2 linked regions of the Xenopus tropicalis genome follow. The protein of the gene in region 1 purifies or fractionates together with the protein of each later gene. This does not show direct contact. Links are inferred from orthologs where the notes say so. Each region holds a gene or a part of one and is shown on either strand. Other genes may lie near its edges.

The links.
Region 2: the proteins of mlxipl (region 1) and mlx purify together in Homo sapiens (affinity purification with western blotting; 3 studies listed by BioGRID and IntAct, counting the BioPlex papers as one, with this or other methods). This does not show direct contact. The link is inferred for Xenopus tropicalis from reciprocal best matches to the Homo sapiens genes MLXIPL and MLX.

Annotation. Positions count from the first base shown.
Region 1 is NC_030678.2:41,633,358-41,642,461, reverse strand, and holds the start of mlxipl (carbohydrate-responsive element-binding protein), read right to left. Parts: upstream 4,367-9,104; 5' UTR 4,266-4,366; coding exon 4,027-4,265; intron 1-4,026. UniProt on the Homo sapiens protein: Binds DNA as a heterodimer with MLX/TCFL4 and activates transcription. Binds to the canonical E box sequence 5'-CACGTG-3'. Plays a role in transcriptional activation of glycolytic target genes. Involved in glucose-responsive gene regulation.
Region 2 is NC_030686.2:6,141,254-6,150,134, reverse strand, and holds the start of mlx (max-like protein X), read left to right. Parts: upstream 1-2,854; 5' UTR 2,855-3,130; exon of another isoform or gene 3,131-3,168; intron 3,169-3,452; 5' UTR 3,453-3,485; intron 3,486-5,359; 5' UTR 5,360-5,367; coding exon 5,368-5,443; intron 5,444-7,026; coding exon 7,027-7,172; intron 7,173-8,091; coding exon 8,092-8,191; intron 8,192-8,881. UniProt on the Homo sapiens protein: Transcription regulator. Forms a sequence-specific DNA-binding protein complex with MAD1, MAD4, MNT, WBSCR14 and MLXIP which recognizes the core sequence 5'-CACGTG-3'. The TCFL4-MAD1, TCFL4-MAD4, TCFL4-WBSCR14 complexes are transcriptional repressors.

The sequences.
Region 1 (9,104 bases):
TCTTACTATTCCGATTGGGCTAGAAAGGAACAATAGAATGGTAGCCAGGGAGAATTAGGAAGGATTAACAGCAAAGTAGTGCAGTACAGATATCACCAGTTGAAGGTTCTGATTCCCACAAAAATTCCACAGTTTCCCATCCCGCTGCAGGAGGTTTCAAAAGGAGTGTGGGAGATTTATGTCTTATTTAAAATTCTGTACCCATAGAATAAAAGCAAATTTTAGCACATTTCCACCCTATCTGTTTAAGACATGATTTATGAAGGCAGCTGTCAACCAGAAACAGTGATCACTCTCAGGTTTACCTGCTTATTACAAGCATAATTTCAGGCATAGGTTCTTAAGAAAACATTGCTCACTTGCAGACCTAATCTAGGTTTTCTGAAGAAAAAGTTAAGATGTATGGTACTGCAATAGTGCGCCTATATACTGTACATACTGCAAATCATTTTGTTCTGCCACCCTGATGTGACAGGTTGGGTGGGCCACCTCTAGCAAGTACATACCCTCAGGCTTACACTGCCAACCAACCACATCCCAACCCTACCCACATTGCTTCCTTACTTGTGTTTTGTACCTATCTGCTTTATTAATATCAATTTGTATTTATTTTAACTTTTGCTGAGTGAAACATTAACTCACCTACAAAATATTTGTAGTGGCATCAAATATAACCTTTCTTTAAGAGATGCAAACTAAGTTGGCTTCATTAACCAAATTGGTAAAAACAAATTATTCACCTTATTTCATTACTATTTTCTGTTGTGGCTCAGTGGGTAGCAAATCTGCCTTGCAGCCTTGGGGAACAGAGTTTGATATGGGCCTGGACACTATCTGCAAAGACTCTGTATGTTCTCCCCACAACTAAATGGGTTTTTCCACTGTACTCCAGTACACTCCCAAAAACATACAGGCAGATTTACTGGCTACTGATTAAATTGACCATAGTGTTTGCTGAATGTGATAGGGATCTTAGATCATAAATTGCACTAATGTGAATCATTAGTAATCTCTGTATAGTGCTGCAGAATATATTGTCACTATATAAATGACAGGATATAAATATAATTCAGGAAGAAACTTCACATTATTAAATGGGATCATGGAAACCAATTTAATCAGCATGGAAACCCACCCTAGAAAAGTTAAGAATCGTTCTTCTAGTCAGTTGGCATTTTCTAGTTATCTAGTTTTCTAGACTTATGTACTGTGAAACAGCAGTCTGCGCTTGTTCATGAGGCCGTGTTTAACCACACACAGACAGAGAACAGCCCAGTGTTTAATGCCACAGATGTGCTGATCACTAGTCCATTAACTGATCCAGCGCCACACATTATTATTCCATTAGTCCCAACATAAAAGAGAGTGGCTATATTAGCTGTCCCATAAAAGTAGCTTTTCCATTAGCTTTCACACTGCCACAACTTCCCTCTGGTCTTTTGATTACCAATTTACCTAGAGGCATAACTCTTTTTGGCGCTATAACTAACATTAGCCCTTGAGCTTTTATACATCATTTCATACATGCTTAGTGCAGCATTCATAGAACTAGCCATATTATAAAGAAAGCGTTAATTACATGGTTTTTGGCAATGCAGCAGGTGATGTGCAGAGCTAGCAGCTGATGTAAAACAAAATGGCAGAAAGGCCAGAATTACAGATGCCACCAACCACTTCCCAAATAATGGGCCAGATTCAGTGTCATGACAAAAACCCTTCTCCAAACTCAATTTCAGATTTTTCCATAGAGCCCAATGCAATTCAATGAGAAAAACGTTATCATGGTTTATCTCATGAAAATTCTATTAAAGTCTATTTGGAAAAAAATAGAACTGAGTTAGGAGAAAATTTTAAATTAAATATCACTCAATTTTTCACATGATAAACTTTAAAATAACGGTTGCAAATAAAACTGAATCTGGCCCTTAATTTATTGAGCATTTTCATGCAATCATCTTTATAGTGGAAAGGTGGCCATACATGGGCAGATTTAAGCTGCCGATTTGGGTTCTTCAGACCAATTTGGCAGCTTATTTGCCCGTGTATGAGGACCTTTCCACTAAAAAGATGTCTGCATGATATTGCTCAATAGATGTTGGGCCAGATTCAGTATCATGAAAAGGAGTTATTTTATGGTTTATCACTCAAATTATGAGTGAGATTTAATTAATTCTCCTAACTCAGTTCCTGTTAAAAAACACAGCGATAATCCCCATAAATGCCATAGACACATATAAGTTTGCAAATCACATGGGCCTTGACTAAACTGTAAAATATATCCTTATTAAATGTCCTAATTTATTAAAGGGGTATGACGCTCATCTACATCTACACATCCATTATTACACCAACTTAAAAAAACAAAAACATTTTTATTGAAAAACTGGAGAATATGGCCCAGCATTTTAATAATAGTGGCCCAAGCAAGTCATGGGAGTGCCTGAAGTATTTCATTATGGTGTAGCCATAGCAATTGGTGTGGCCCCAGAATTTTTGATACATGGGCTAAAGCACTTTTTGAGACTTTGTCCCCAGTACTTCATGGCACAGTTGGCTTAGCATATGATGACACAGTGAGGCTCATTTATCAACGCTGGGCAAATTAGCCTGTGGACAGTAACTCACAGCAGCCAATCAAATTTTTGCATACATTGTTCTTCCTGCAGCTGGCTGAAAAAGGCCAATCACTGGTTGCTATGGGCTACTGCCCATGGGCAAATCTGCCAAGTATTGATAAATGAACCTTACTAGTGACTTCAGCAAATTGGCCCCAGAATTTCATGACACAATGAAACCAACATTCCATGACTAAGTATTGCCCCAGAAACTCATGGGACCCTTTGTGCTCTAGCACTTGCTCCCTTGAATAAAAGCATATTGCACCATTGTGTGTGACCTGCGTCGCCTGCCTCTTCCTAAGTTGCGCCTGTGCCTTCTAAAGCTGTGCTCTGCTCCTCACATTGGATTTTTGATCTGGCGCCAGAAGCAGAGTACATAATTCCACTGGGCGCACATAATTGCTAGGTAAAGACTATGGGAAGCCCACTTGTGCACCTTAGTTTCTGCACCATGGGGGCACAGCCTGGAAATAACTGACCACTAGGAATAAAAAATATTAATTTTACAATTACTTATTGATATAAAGCCTTCTGCACTCATTGGACAATGGGAACTGTAGTACAAGAACAGCTGGAGTAGCAGCAAAGGAACCATTCCTTGCTGATACTTAGCTGGAAGCCCACTGATCCCTTGAAGGTGAGTTATCTTTTTGTACCTTACAATCAAACCAGCTTTGTTCTTTTTAATTCCAAATCTTTACTAGACCCCAACAATAATCCCCCCCAGTTCAACACGTCCCAGTAGGGTTCAGATTTCTGGCACCCCAAACTCCTATTTACTATCACCCCAAACAAAATTAACCCATGCAGCTCCAAAAAAGATCCACTGTCTCTGCCCTGACAAATGTATCCCTCTGCAGCTCCACTGTTCTCCTAGTTTATGAGCTCTGTATTACTTAGCTATTTATATAAATCCAAGATTCATGCATAAAGGTTGCACTTTTCCGATCAGCTATCATATAAGGATGCAAACAAAAGCAAAGAGTTTACGAATATGTGGTATGTGCATGATAAAGCTACACACACGGTTTCCTGGCTCAGAGAATCCAGCTATCACTAGCCCCTCCCCTGCTGGGCTGCTACAGTTACACTGGGAAGGAGAGCAGCAGAATAGAAGCAGGAGCGGAGGAATATTTAACTCCTCAGCCAGCAAGGTGGGGTACAACTACACAGGGGCAGGATTATTGACTTTTGCCCCCTTGTCACCCCCTTCTTCCCGCCATGCACTTCGCACAGAACACGTTGACGCTATAAACTTGCAAGCTCCCCTACAAACAATTATCAGTTAGAGACTTGCTCAGCATAACATTTTATTTAGGGTAGTTTAGCCCCTAATACCCCTATGTTTAATGGCATTGCAGCTGGTATGTAGCCATACAAGCCAAATGTGTGTAGCCCTTGTACCTACCTGTATGCCAGACTCATACACTCGAACAGCCGAGTCAGTGTGGGATCAATGGTCCCGGCTGGCAGGTTCCCTGGCCGCTGCAGTTCACTTCTCCTGTGCTTGTCATCTCCATGTGGGGACGATACCATGAAGTGCCCGCTATGAATGATCTGATGCCGGGGCCCCAGTCCCTCACAGTCTGAGTCCGAATCAGAGTCTGCATTAGAACTCCGGAGTTGATTCGTGCCGCAGCCTGCCATGGTGTGGGATAATCCCAACGTACACCGAAGCGCAAGTGACAGAAGAGCAGTCACAGACACGCCCACCCACCATAGGTGAAAGGCCCATCCAACCAGAAAACCTCCAATCGCCTGCCATAGATCAGCATAACCACGCCCCATTAGACACTGTTCTAAACCTGCAGGCTGACAGCCCGAGAGTCCCACCCATCTCCCAGAAGTGACCAATGACAGCTGCAATGTAAGTACGGGGTAGCAGGTTGTGTACTTGGTTTTGGCTGCAGCACCTCGGAAACCTTCTCTCAGGTTATGTAATTCCAATGTAAGGTGTTATCCCAGAATCCTCCTTGCCGCCTTGTGATTCATCACTGGTTGGTTCCATGGGATGTGGCAGCACAGATTGTGCTTTGAACTTTGCACTCTCCTTACTTTAGCTGGATGTCATGCCATACATTGCCAACCCCTCTCTATGTTTCCATGTAACGCTTGCCTTCTCATAATGTTGTAGTGGAATCACAGCAAATCCTCTCTAAACATATCTCTTTGTAAATATTCCCTACCCAGCCTGTTGCACTTATGCTAAGCAAGTCTCTTAACTAATAATTGTATGTGAGGGGGGCTGCAGGTTTAAAGCACCAATGAGGGGGGGGGGGTACAGGGGTAATAATCGGCCCCTGGGTTGTTCTACAGCACTTTGCTGCCTGAGAAGTTTGCTCTGTTCCTGCCCATGCTGCTCTGCCCTGTCCTCCCTCCCAGTGTAAATTTTAGCCTGCCCAGCAAAGGGGGAGGGGGTGCTTCATTGAGCCAGGAAACCAATGCAGATAGCAGGAGAAGGACTATAAAATAAACTATTGAACAAATATTAATTTATTTAGCTTAGCTGTAATAATTAAGGCAATTATGAAAAAAATATGCCTGAATGACAATGAAAGCCCTAACATATGCACCGTCTGGGGTGTTATTCACCAGGGATTATATTTACTGAGCCAGGTATAGATTGAAATTCCAAATAGGCCCTGGCATTTCAAGCATAAAGAGGTCCGAACAGGCCCCACCAGCCCAATATTTTATTACTGTCTGTGGTATCTTACAGCAGTCCCTAGGGTTGCCAGCTGGTCGGCATTTTACCAGCCTGGCCAGTAAAACACCTGCCAAGGCAAGCAATCAGATCTCAGTCCATACCTGGCTCCAATATAACATAGGAATGTATACTATAGCAAGGAATTAAAAAGCAAGGAAAACCCTCTTTACCGAGGGGCATCAAAATGTTAGGGTGCACCCATAATGCTTGGGACCTGGGGTTTTCTGGATAAGGGGTCTTTCCTTAATTTGGCTCCATACCTTAAGTCAGTGATCCCAACCAGTGGCTCATGAGCAGCATCTTGCTCACCAAGCCATTGGATGTTTCTCCCAGTAGCCTCAAAGCAGGTGCTTATTTTTAAATAATTGGCTTGGAGGCAAGTTTTGGTTGCATAAAAACCAGGTGTACTGTCAAACAGGGCCTCCTGTAGGCTGACAGTCCACATAGGGGCTACCAAATAGCCAATCACGGCACATATTGGACACCCCCAGTAACTTTTTGCATGCTTGTGTTGCTCTCCAACTTTTTTTTATTTTTGAATGTGGCTCATGGGTAAAAAAAAGTTGGGGATCCCTGTTAAGTCTACAAAGAATTGAAACATTAATTCAACCAAATATGATTATTTTGCTTCCAATGTATTACATATATCTTAGTTGGGATCAGGTACAAGCTACTGTCATACCCCCCAACTGTCCCGCTTTTCGCGGGACAGTCCCGGTTTTTACAGCGCGTCCCGCTGTCCCGGATTGTTCAATGAATGTCCCGCATTACGGAAATGCAGAACATTCATTAAACTATCCAGGCCAGCGGATCGCTCCGGCTCCTTCTTCTTGGGCTCCCGCTCCTTATTCGGCTCCTCGTACGGCGGCGACAGGTCCTTTTATAAGGTTGCGCACGGGCGCAACCTTATAAAAGGACCTGTCGCCGCCTTACGAGGAGCCGAGTAAGGAGCAGGAGCCCAAGAAGTCTATGGGGGCTGCTATGTATGAGGTAATCACTATGGGGGCAGTTGGGGGGGCACTGTGTATGGGGGGGCTCTGTGTATTGGGGGCTCTGTGTAAGGAGGGCTACTGTGTATGGGGGGCACTGTGTATGGGGGGACACTGTGTAAGGAGGGCTACTGTGTATGGGGGGGGCACTGTGTATGGGGGGAACTGTGTATGAAGGGCTACTGTGTATGGGGGGGCACTGTGTAAGGAGGGCTACTGTGTATGGGGGCACTGTGTATGGGGGGGCACTGTGTATGGGGGGAACTGTATGGGGGGACACTGTGTAAGGAGGGCTACTGTGTATTGGGGGCACTGTATGGGGGGGCACTGTGTAAGGAGGGCTACTGTGTATGGGGGCACTGTGTATGGGGGGCACTGTGTATGGGGGCACTGTGTAAGGAGGGCTACTGTGTAAGGAGGGCTACTGTGTATGGGGGCACTGTGTATGGGGGAACTTTCTATGGGGGTATTGTGTATGGAGGGTACTTTCTATGGGGTGCTGCCTATTGGGCCATCGTGGGCACTATTTTAATAATGGGGTGTGGCAATTGGAGCGTGGCCACAAAGTGGGCGTGTCCAAAAAAAAAATTTTTTTTTTTGGCCACGCCCACTTTGTGGCAAGTCTTTTTGTCCCTCTTTTCATTTTTCAAATGTTGGGAGGTATGTACTGTTTTATTAGTTGCCCAGGACAACAACATCTTTGGTTTCTCCAAATCAATACACCATATTACTATTAGGAAAAGGAAAAAACAGAGCACATCCAAAGTAGCATAGTGTAGTACTTTACAAATATCAATCCAGATTTAGAGACACTCTCACCATCTTTCATAAGGGATAGGAGCATCAGTGTACCCAGCATCATTTAAAAATTAGCGGTTGCTAAGGGGTCCTCATAGCAACCCATAATCACTACAGTACAATGCTAATACATACTATAAAATTAACAGCAGCTAAATTCAAACCTTTATTAAGACCTAGCAGGTCAAGAGTATTTAGCCTATAAATCCAAAACGTTTCTTGTTGGTGTAATTCCAAAAATCTATCACCACCTCTACTGGAATTGGAAATGTGTTCTAAGCCTATAACTTAAAACACATCTGCGTTAGAGGAATGTTTTTCTAGAAAATGCAAAGAAACACCATGCTTCCAAAAGCATTTCTTGATAATACGAACATGTTTACTAATTTAAGTGCCCAGAGAACGTTTGGTACATCCCACATATTTTAATCCACATGGACAAATCAGTAGATAAACCCTATAAATGGTCTTACACTTCATAAACCACTTGGATATTGGGATATCATACCTAGAAACCACATATCTACAAGTGCAACATCTATTGCTGTGGCACTTGTATGTTCCTGTCAAGTGTCCATATAACCGTGCTGGCCTGAATTTTGGGAAAATGTTTGAAGAAGCTACCATTTTATTTAGGGTTTTTGCTTTCTTACGAAAAAAACAACGGCACCAGCACTTGATCTGCCTGTAAGATGTTCCAGTGTCATTTTAGTATTCTTTTTATAATTGGAATAGCTAAATCTTGTTAGAAAAGGAACACAATTTACCTGTTTGATTCATGTCAAAGATGCTTTTAGAAAAAAAGGTCGATCCTAGAGAATTAATTGTGTACATTTGTAAATTCTTGTAGACCTGTGTTTTGTGTTTTCTATGCATTTATCAGGTCTACCCTTTCTTATAATTGTGAGATACAATTTACCTTGTCATGGCTTGATATATAAGTTTCTATGTAAATTTTCAGGTCAGAAACTCCAGTGGGGGCGGACAAGTGCCCCCCTTTCTCCTATATGTGGTCACCCATGCTAACTACCAAAGTATGTGCCATGTAGCAATCTCAAAATCAAAATTGCACACTCAAAATTTTTAAAAGACATAAATAAATAGTCATGGTTAATAAAGCAGAATATAGTAAAATTGTAAAAAAAAACATTAAAATCAATATAAAAATAAGAAATTCATAGCACTATGTTGTGTTGTCATGCAGAAAAAAAAGCAATCAACAATTAAAGTAAGATGTGTGTGTGCTCACTTGTGAGTGTGAAAAAGCCCCTCACCCCCCAAAAAAGAATAAAAGTATCAGAGAAGTAAACAAACTTACTGTGGAATTATAATAATAGAGAGGATATTAGAACATGACTAATTAGCAACTGTAATACATCCCTTATCAACCCAGCCAAAACAAGAATCTTGGGCCAGTGCCCATATTCTTTACTAGAGGAACAGGGGCACCACCTTGCCTGATCTATCAAGTGTCACTGTGGTCTTACATCTCTGCATATAGCATTACTGCCAGTGTCCAACTGGCATGCCAAGGGCCCACCAGAAAACCTTAGACCTTGGGCCCATTTCAATATTATTATATGATTTACTTTTCTCACTCATCCTCTTTATTCTCCTAGTCTCTTTTCTTTACGTACAATAATCAATCTTTCCACCTTTGTTTTCTTCTTTGTTTCCATGCAGAAATATGGAATGGCCGTGAAGTATGCCAAATGGCTAGGAGCTGGAGGGCACACTGACAAATGACTATTGCATTGTTGCACTGAAACCAATACAAGCACATTAAACTGATTACATAAAGAACTATTAAGTGTTTTAAAGCTCGAAAAAAAAACTATTTGTGAAAGAATAAAAATATTACTTCTAAAATATCTGTGCTATGGAATTGTTTGGATACAGCGCTGCGGAATATGTTGGTGCTTTATAAATAAATGTTAATAATAATAATGCCCACACATCAGACCTGAAAATCTTTGCGCAGTCACAACGGAG
Region 2 (8,881 bases), on another chromosome or scaffold:
CTACACAGGGTAATGCTGTATCCCCTGTACATCTATCATGGGAGAAATGACTAGAAATTCTCTGTGTAGGATGAAACTGATCCACTGCCATTCTATACCAAATTATAACATGCATAATAATCTTATAAACTGCAAATAAGGCAAAATAAAGACCAATTGCAAATTGTCTCAGAATAGACAACCCCTTCAACATCAACACCATCTGCTCCACCTCTGCTAGCCATACCAGCCGTTAGCAACCAGCCACACTTCCCACCCAGACACCACAAAGTAGCCGCAACATGTACCTTAGTGGGTTTGTACTTGGGAACCTGCCACAGCTTTACATTATAAGCCTAAATTGACACCATCTTGCCTTGCTATACACAATGTCCCACCCCTGACACCATCTTGCCTTGCTATACACAATGTCCCACCCCTGACACCATCTTGCCTTGCTATACACACAGTCCCACCCCTGACACCATCTTGCCTTGCTATACACACAGTCCCACCCCTGACCCCATCTTGCCTTGCTATACACACAATGTCCCACCCCTGACACCATCTTGCCTTGCTATACACACAATGTCCCACCCCTGACCCCATCTTGCCTTGCTATACACACAATGTCCCACCCCTGACACCATATTGCCTTGCTATACACACAATGTCCCACCCCTGACACCATCTTGCCTTGCTATACACACAATGTCCCACCCCTGACCCCATCTTGCCTTGCTATACACACAGTCCCACCCCTGACACCATCTTGCCTTGCTATACACACAATGTCCCACCCCTGACCCCATCTTGCCTTGCTATACACACAATGTCCCACCCCTGACCCCATCTTGCCTTGCTATACACACAATGTCCCACCCCTGACCCCATCTTGCCTTGCTATACACACAATGTCCCACCCCTGACACCATCTTGCCTTGCTATACACAGTCCCACCCCTGACACCATCTTGCCTTGCTATACACACAATGTCCCACCCCTGACACCATCTTGCCTTGCTATACACACAATGTCCCACCCCTGACCCCATCTTGCCTTGCTATACACACAATGTCCCACCCCTGACACCATCTTGCCTTGCTATACACACAATGTCCCACCCCTGACACCATCTTGCCTTGCTATACACACAATGTCCCACCCCTGACCCCATCTTGCCTTGCTATACACACAATGTCCCACCCCTGACACCATCTTGCCTTGCTATACACACAATGTCCCACCCTGACACCATCTTGCCTTGCTATACACACAATGTCCCACCCCTGACCCCATCTTGCCTTGCTATACACACAATGTCCCACCCCTGACACCATCTTGCCTTGCTATACACAGTCCCACCCCTGACACCATCTTGCCTTGCTATACACAATGTCCCACCCCTGACACCATCTTGCCTTGCTATACACACAATGTCCCACCCCTGACACCATCTTGCCTTGCTATACACACAATGTCCCACCCCTGACCCCATCTTGCCTTGCTATACACAATGTCCCACCCCTGACACCATCTTGCCTTGCTATACACACAATGTCCCACCCCTGACCCCATCTTGCCTTGCTATACACACAGTCCCACCCCTGACACCATCTTGCCTTGCTATACACACAATGTCCCACCCCTGACCCCCATCTTGCCTTGCTATAACACACAATGTCCCACCCCTGACCCCATCTTGCCTTGCTATACACACAATGTCCCACCCCTGACACCATCTTGCCTTGCTATACACAGTCCCACCCCTGACACCATCTTGCCTTGCTATACACACAATGTCCCACCCCTGACACCATCTTGCCTTGCTATACACACAATGTCCCACCCCTGACACCATCTTGCCTTGCTATACACACAGTCCCACCCCTGACCCCATCTTGCCTTGCTATACACACAATGTTCCACCCCTGACCCCATCTTGCCTTGCTATACACACAGTCCCACCCCTGACCCCATCTTGCCTTGCTATACACACAATGTTCCACCCCTGACCCCATCTTGCCTTGCTATACACACAGTCCCACCCCTGACACCATCTTGCCTTGCTATACACAATGTCCCACCCCTGACCCCATCTTGCCTTGCTATACACACAGTCCCACCCCTGACCCCATCTTGCCTTGCTATACACACAATTATAGTGCACTCCCTGTAAATAAGTATAGGAGGACCCAATGTTGTGCCCTGACTATTGCTCTGCGGGGCCCCCGGGGCCTGTAAAGGGTCCCCCCTTTCTAGCCATCTCATTCTACCAACAGGGTAACAAACTGCCTATCAGCTCAAAGCTTCTGGGGGTGCCGGGAGTTGTAATTCAATGAGCAAAGAGACGTAGGTAAAACATCCCTGAATGTAATGAAGTTCAATGCCAGAGGTGCAACCTACTCCCCTCCATTTATGGGATTCTGGAAGTTATAGTTCAGGCAGCCCCCCACACACAGGCAGGATTTTAGGTATTTAAAGGGTAAGTTAACCCCTCCTCAGCCAACCAAACTGCATCAGCCAGGCAGGGAGCTGGGATATGACAACCTCCCACCAAATCTCCTCTATATACAGGGATACCTGCCTCCCATGGCCCATCTACCTCCCTCTACACTCAGCACCTTAGAGCCCCCCAAACAACTCAGTAGCATCCTAAAGAGGAGATAGAGCTCAGTCTGAGGGGCTGCTCATTGACTCCCGAACCACCCTATTCCATTGCATGCTGGGTAATGTAGTTTATTCAAAGCGTAGTATCAGGCGACAGCTAAAACAAGAACTACATTACCCAGTATGCACTGGGGTTATTTACCAGGAAAAGGGAAGAGGCGGGGCAGGTAGGGCTGAGAAAGTTTTGCTGTGCGTGTAGTTTCAGGATATTATTAGTATTTTATTCGTTGGACTTTAACAACCCACCTAGTATGAAAACGAACAATATATGACTGGAAATGTACTATTTTGGCAGCCCTGGGATCCTCGGTAGTCGCACGTCACACTCTCGCGAGATTTGGAGGAAATTCTGGGGGAGCTGTCGGGAAGCAGCTGAGGGGCTGAGGGGCTGCGCTATAGGAAGGGGTTGTGGGGCGTTTAATCAGCGCTCCGGGACGACGATATCAGCAGCTCCGGGCGGGACGGCTGTCGGTTCTGTTGTGTGAGTTACCGACTGGAAGCGGAGCTCAATGTAAATAGGTCCGTGTGCGGGAACCTTCCATTTGGGGAAGTGCTGCCAAACTGACAGGGGAAAGCAGCTTGTAATGTAATCCCATCAGCATTGTACGGATAGGAGAGGGTTAATACGTTAAAGGGGAACTCCCCCTCCCAAATATTACTTTATACCCCCTGGTCTAATATCCATAGAATTCAATTCCCAGGCATTTATAGTGTGATCCCTTAATGCTTACAGCAAACATGTCTTATGCTCTAATAGCCTGTTTGTAACCCTTTGTATTCATCCTTCTCACTCTTCCTTCTAGCCTGATGTTCCCTATGTGATAATGTGAGGCCGGGTAAGTCTTTCATATACTTAATAACTGTCTTTTATTGGTTTTTATTTTATAATAAATGCTTACAGTTGTATCAAGGCTTGGATCCATTATCTGGAAACCCGATATCCAGAACGCTCCAAATTATGGAAAGCCTGTCTCCCATAGACTCTAAGATATAACTTAGATATAACTAAGATATAATTACCCCTTATTGGGGGCAGAACAGCCCTATTGGGTTTATTTCATGGTTAAATGATTCCCTTTTCTCTGTAATAATAAAACAGTACCTGTACTTGATCCCAACTAAGATATAATTACCCCTTATTGGGGGCAGAACAGCCCTATTGGGTTTATTTCATGGTTAAATGATTCCCTTTTCTCTGTAATAATAAAACAGTACCTGTACTTGATCCCAACTAAGATATAATTACCCCTTATTGGGGCAGAACAGCCCTATTGGGTTTATTTCATGGTTAAATGATTCCCTTTTCTCTGTAATAATAAAACAGTACCTGTACTTGATCCCAACTAAGATATAATTACCCCTTATTGGGGCAGAACAGCCCTATTGGGTTTATTTCATGGTTAAATGATTCCCTTTTCTCTGTAATAATAAAACAGTACCTGTACTTGATCCCAACTAAGATATAATTACCCCTTATTGGGGCAGAACAGCCCTATTGGGTTTATTTAATGGTTAAATGATTCCCTTTTCTCTGTAATAATAAAACAGTACCTGTACTTGATCCCAACTAAGATATAATTACCCCTTATTGGGGCAGAACAGCCCTATTGGGTTTATTTCATGGTTAAATGATTCCCTTTTCTCTGTAATAATAAAACAGTACCTGTACTTGATCCCAACTAAAATATAATTACCCCTTATTGGTATGAAGATCCAAATTATGGAAAGACCTCTTATCTGGAATACCCTTGGTCTCAAGCATTCTGGATAACCTGTATACCTGTAACTGTAAATATCAGGGAGACATTGCTTTTACCTGATCTGCATCATTATATTTATAAAACTCAGGTAAATTATATTAACTGTGTATATTATCTCCAAAATCAAACTGTTTAAACCCCAGGAAAGCGTAATGTGGTGGCTTTGGACTATGGTTTTGAAATACGGCTTTAAAGGGGAAGTTCACCTTTATGTTCACTTTTAGTATGTTAAATAATATTCTAAGCAACTTTTCATTTGGTCTTCATTATTTATTTGTTATAGTTTTTACAGCTTTCAAATTGGGGGTCACTGACCCCGGCAGCCAGAAAACTATTGCTCTGTGAGGCTCCAGTTTTATTATTATTGTTACTTTCATGACTTATTTTTCTAGGCCCCTCTCCTATTCATATACCTGTCCATCTTTCAAACCACTCCCTAAGGTAATTTGGACCCGAGCAACCGGATAGCTGCTGCAACTCCAAACTGGAGAGCTGCTGAACCAAAAGTGAAATAAAATAAATAAATAAAAGAAACAGGGGGGCCCATTTATAAACACTGGGCAAATTTGCTCCTAGCAACTGGTTAGTTACCCACAAACACACCTTCCTGTCTTTAAATCAGTCATCCCAGTGCTTGGTATAGAGGGTTAGCGCCCTCCTCTGTCTGAAAGCAGTAAATCTATCGGCACAACAAGAGCAATTCCAAGAGAGGCAGACCTGTTTTAAAACAACATTATTGGTTACCATGGGTTACTGCCCCTGGGCAAAGTAAGTGCTTTTTAGTACACGCGGGTGGGGTAATGTTTAATTTGGAAGTAGAAAGCGGCCTAATAAATGCATGACGTTTGGGCAATAATCCAATCTGTTGATACTGTAAGAACTGGATCACAACAGACTTGGCATGGGTGCATTCATATTAATTTAGTATATATGATTTTATCTTTTTGCAGTTCCTGTCATGGAGCAGAAGGGAAGTTTAGTGTCCAGAGCAAACAGCATTGGATCCACAAGTGCATCTTCAGTGCCCAATACAGGTAAATCCTAAAACTGTTTGCACATGATTAACCTCACCTTCCACCCATTGAGGGTTGCTCTATTTTATGTTTTTATTCAAGTACATTTCAGGCTTTAAGATTAAATATAAATTCTAAACTGTGAAAAATATTTTCCAAAAGTAGTACAGGTATGGACCATGTTACCAACAATGCCCTGGACCTGGGGTTTTGCAGATAAGGGGTCTTCCCGTAATTTGGATCTCCATACCTTACGTGTACTAAGAAATCATTTAAACATGAAATAAACCCAATAGGGCTGTTCTGCCCCCAATAAGGGGAAATTATATCTTAGTTGGGATCAAGTACAGGTACTGTTTTATTATTACAGAGAAAAGGGAATCATTTAACCATGAAATAAACCCAATAGGGCTGTTCTGCCCCCAATAAGGGGTAATTATATCTTAGTTGGGATCAAGTACAGGTACTGTTTTATTATTACAGAGAAAAGGGAATCATTTAACCATGAAATAAACCCAATAGGGCTGTTCTGCCCCCAATAAGGGGTAATTATATCTTAGTTGGGATCAAGTACAGGTACTGTTTTATTATTACAGAGAAAAGGGAATCATTTAACCATTAAATAAACCCAATAGGGCTGTTCTGCCCCAATAAGGGGTAATTATATCTTAGTTGGGATCAAGTACAGGTACTGTTTTATTATTACAGAGAAAAGGGAATCATTTAAACATGAAATAAACCCAATAGGGCTGTTCTGCCCCCAATAAGGGGAAATTATATCTTAGTTGGGATCAAGTACAGGTACTGTTTTATTATTACAGAGAAAAGGGAATCATTTAACCATGAAATAAACCCAATAGGGCTGTTCTGCCCCAATAAGGGGTAATTATATCTTAGTCGGGATCAAGTACAGGTACTGTTTTATTATTACAGAGAAAAGGGAATCATTTAACCATGAAATAAACCCAATAGGGCTGTTCTGCCCCCAATAAGGGGTAATTATATCTTAGTCGGGATCAAGTACAGGTACTGTTTTATTATTACAGAGAAAAGGGAATCATTTAACCATGAAATAAACCCAATAGGGCTGTTCTGCCCCAATAAGGGGTAATTATATCTTAGTTGGGATCAAGTACAGGTACTGTTTTATTATTACAGAGAAAAGGGAATCATTTAACCATGAAATAAACCCAATAGGGCTGTTCTGCCCCCAATAAGGGGTAATTATATCTTAATTGGGATCAAGTACAGGTACTGTTTTATTATTACAGAGAAAAGGGAATCATTTAACCATTAAATAAACCCAATAGGACTGTTCTACCCCCAATAAGGAGGAATTATATTTTAGGCTGGGGGTAAATTCCCTGTCAATCTGCTCTGCTCCAAATTTCGATACCACTCATGAGAAGGAAATTATGTTTGAACGCAAACTGTGAAATAGCAATTGCAGCAATTTCTGGGCAGAAATCAATAACTTCTTAGCTGATAACTATTAGTTTAATTTGGCACTGTGCAGCACTCTCTCTTTATATGGTAAAGGACAGATGGTTGGTTTGGCTTATCATGGTGTTAAATAGCATCTATGTGCCTCACCGTTTCTGTAGCCTGCAACATGATGGACAATGCTTGTTCCCTAACCTCAGATGACGAGGACAGTGATGACCGCCAAGAGACCATAAAAAATGACTACAAGGACCGACGCAGACGGGCACACACCCAGGCTGAGCAGAAGAGAAGAGATGCCATCAAAGTAAGAATTGAAGGCTACATATTGGGGAAATAATCTGAAGACTGAGGGCTGTCTGCAAAGAATTCACTGTAGATATAACATAATGGTGGCCGGGGGGGCAGCCCCCATATCTACAGTGACTATGGGGCTTGGTGTGACCCCTTGTATCTGCAATGTATTTGCTGTAAACAGCCCATAGTGTAGTGGGCTTGATTATTAGATACTGTATCTATAAGGGTAAGGTTATATTGCAACGGCATCATACATAGGGTCCTGCTTGACCAGGATGGGGTGGGGGTATCAGAGACCGTTAAGAATAAAAGCTTTAGGGGTCATCATAAATTATCAATCAGAAAATAAGGTTGGCCTGTCATATAAGCTGATGCTACAGGGCCAATTAATCTGCTGCTAATTGCACTGGTTTCAGAGCTGCCATATAGCAATGATCTGTATTAATTACTAGTCAGCCTTATATTGTGACATTTATATTGTATATATACTGTATATTGTGAGTGGGTCCCTAAACTCAGGTAAGTGACAGCAGCACATAGTATGTGCTGGGAATCAGCAGAAATGAAGATGGGGGGCTACTGGGGCATCTTGGGGGGCACAGATCTTCCCTGCTAAAGGGCTGTGGGTGCCTTGGGCTGGTACAGAAACCCAAAATATCATGTACATTTACATACACCTAGTATGAATAGGTCCTTTTTTTTTCCTATATGGATTTATAATAGAATAGCATAGAGAGGTGTCGGCACTCATAGGATTTCCACGATCATATTGAAGAGAATACTCATGGGTAAATGCAAACGGTGAGGTTTATTTAGTCCTACGTTTCGGTTCCCTACTGGAACCTTCGTCAGGGAAGATTTATAATAGAATGTAAAGGGCTCTTCCTGGGTTTCTCACCACAATAATGGCTTCTGCCTGTATCTTGCAGAAAGGCTACGACGACTTGCAGTGCATCGTGCCCACCTGTCAGCAGCAAGACATCGCTATAGGAACACAAAAACTCAGCAAGGCTGTTGTTCTGCAGAAGAGTAAGTATTCTGCCCCCACAGTACCCCCCCCACACACATCAATGACAATTGCAACTGCCTTGTATTGATAGCTGTATGGTTATGCGCCATGTAAGGGCCACTTCTGGGTATGGTGTGGGGAGCAGTTATCAGCTGAAATGCTGCTTCGTTGGGATATAGCTGCATTTAGGGTAAATGGATATTATGATTAGCCAAACTAGCAATCTGCAAGCATTTCCAGGGACAGTACCTTCCTGTTCAACATGAGTGTAACAAATAGGACATAAGCCAGATATACTCTCTGCCTGTTGTTTTTATCACAAAAAAATTTATTGTTTTTGTTTCTTGAACTAAACAGGACAAATAGATATGGTTCTTATGAAGTAGAAGGTTAGATTACCAGTGCATAGCCACAGCAGTCCAACAAAGAGTGAAGGGGGTGGGTTGTTTATACAGAGCTTATTATCTTTAAACAAAAGGTGGCTATACATGGTACTGGAACCTCGCTAAACAAGTGGTCTTTCCCCTGATATGCCGACCTTGGGTGGGGGATATCGTGCTAATGCGATTTATTTGGCATAACTGAGCCAACAAGGTCCTTGATCCGACAGAAAAATCAAACCTGCCTGAACTACATCTGACCAATTTTAGGCCAAATATCGGTTGGGGAGGCCTGTCGGAGGTCCCCATACACGGCAGATAAGCTAAAGA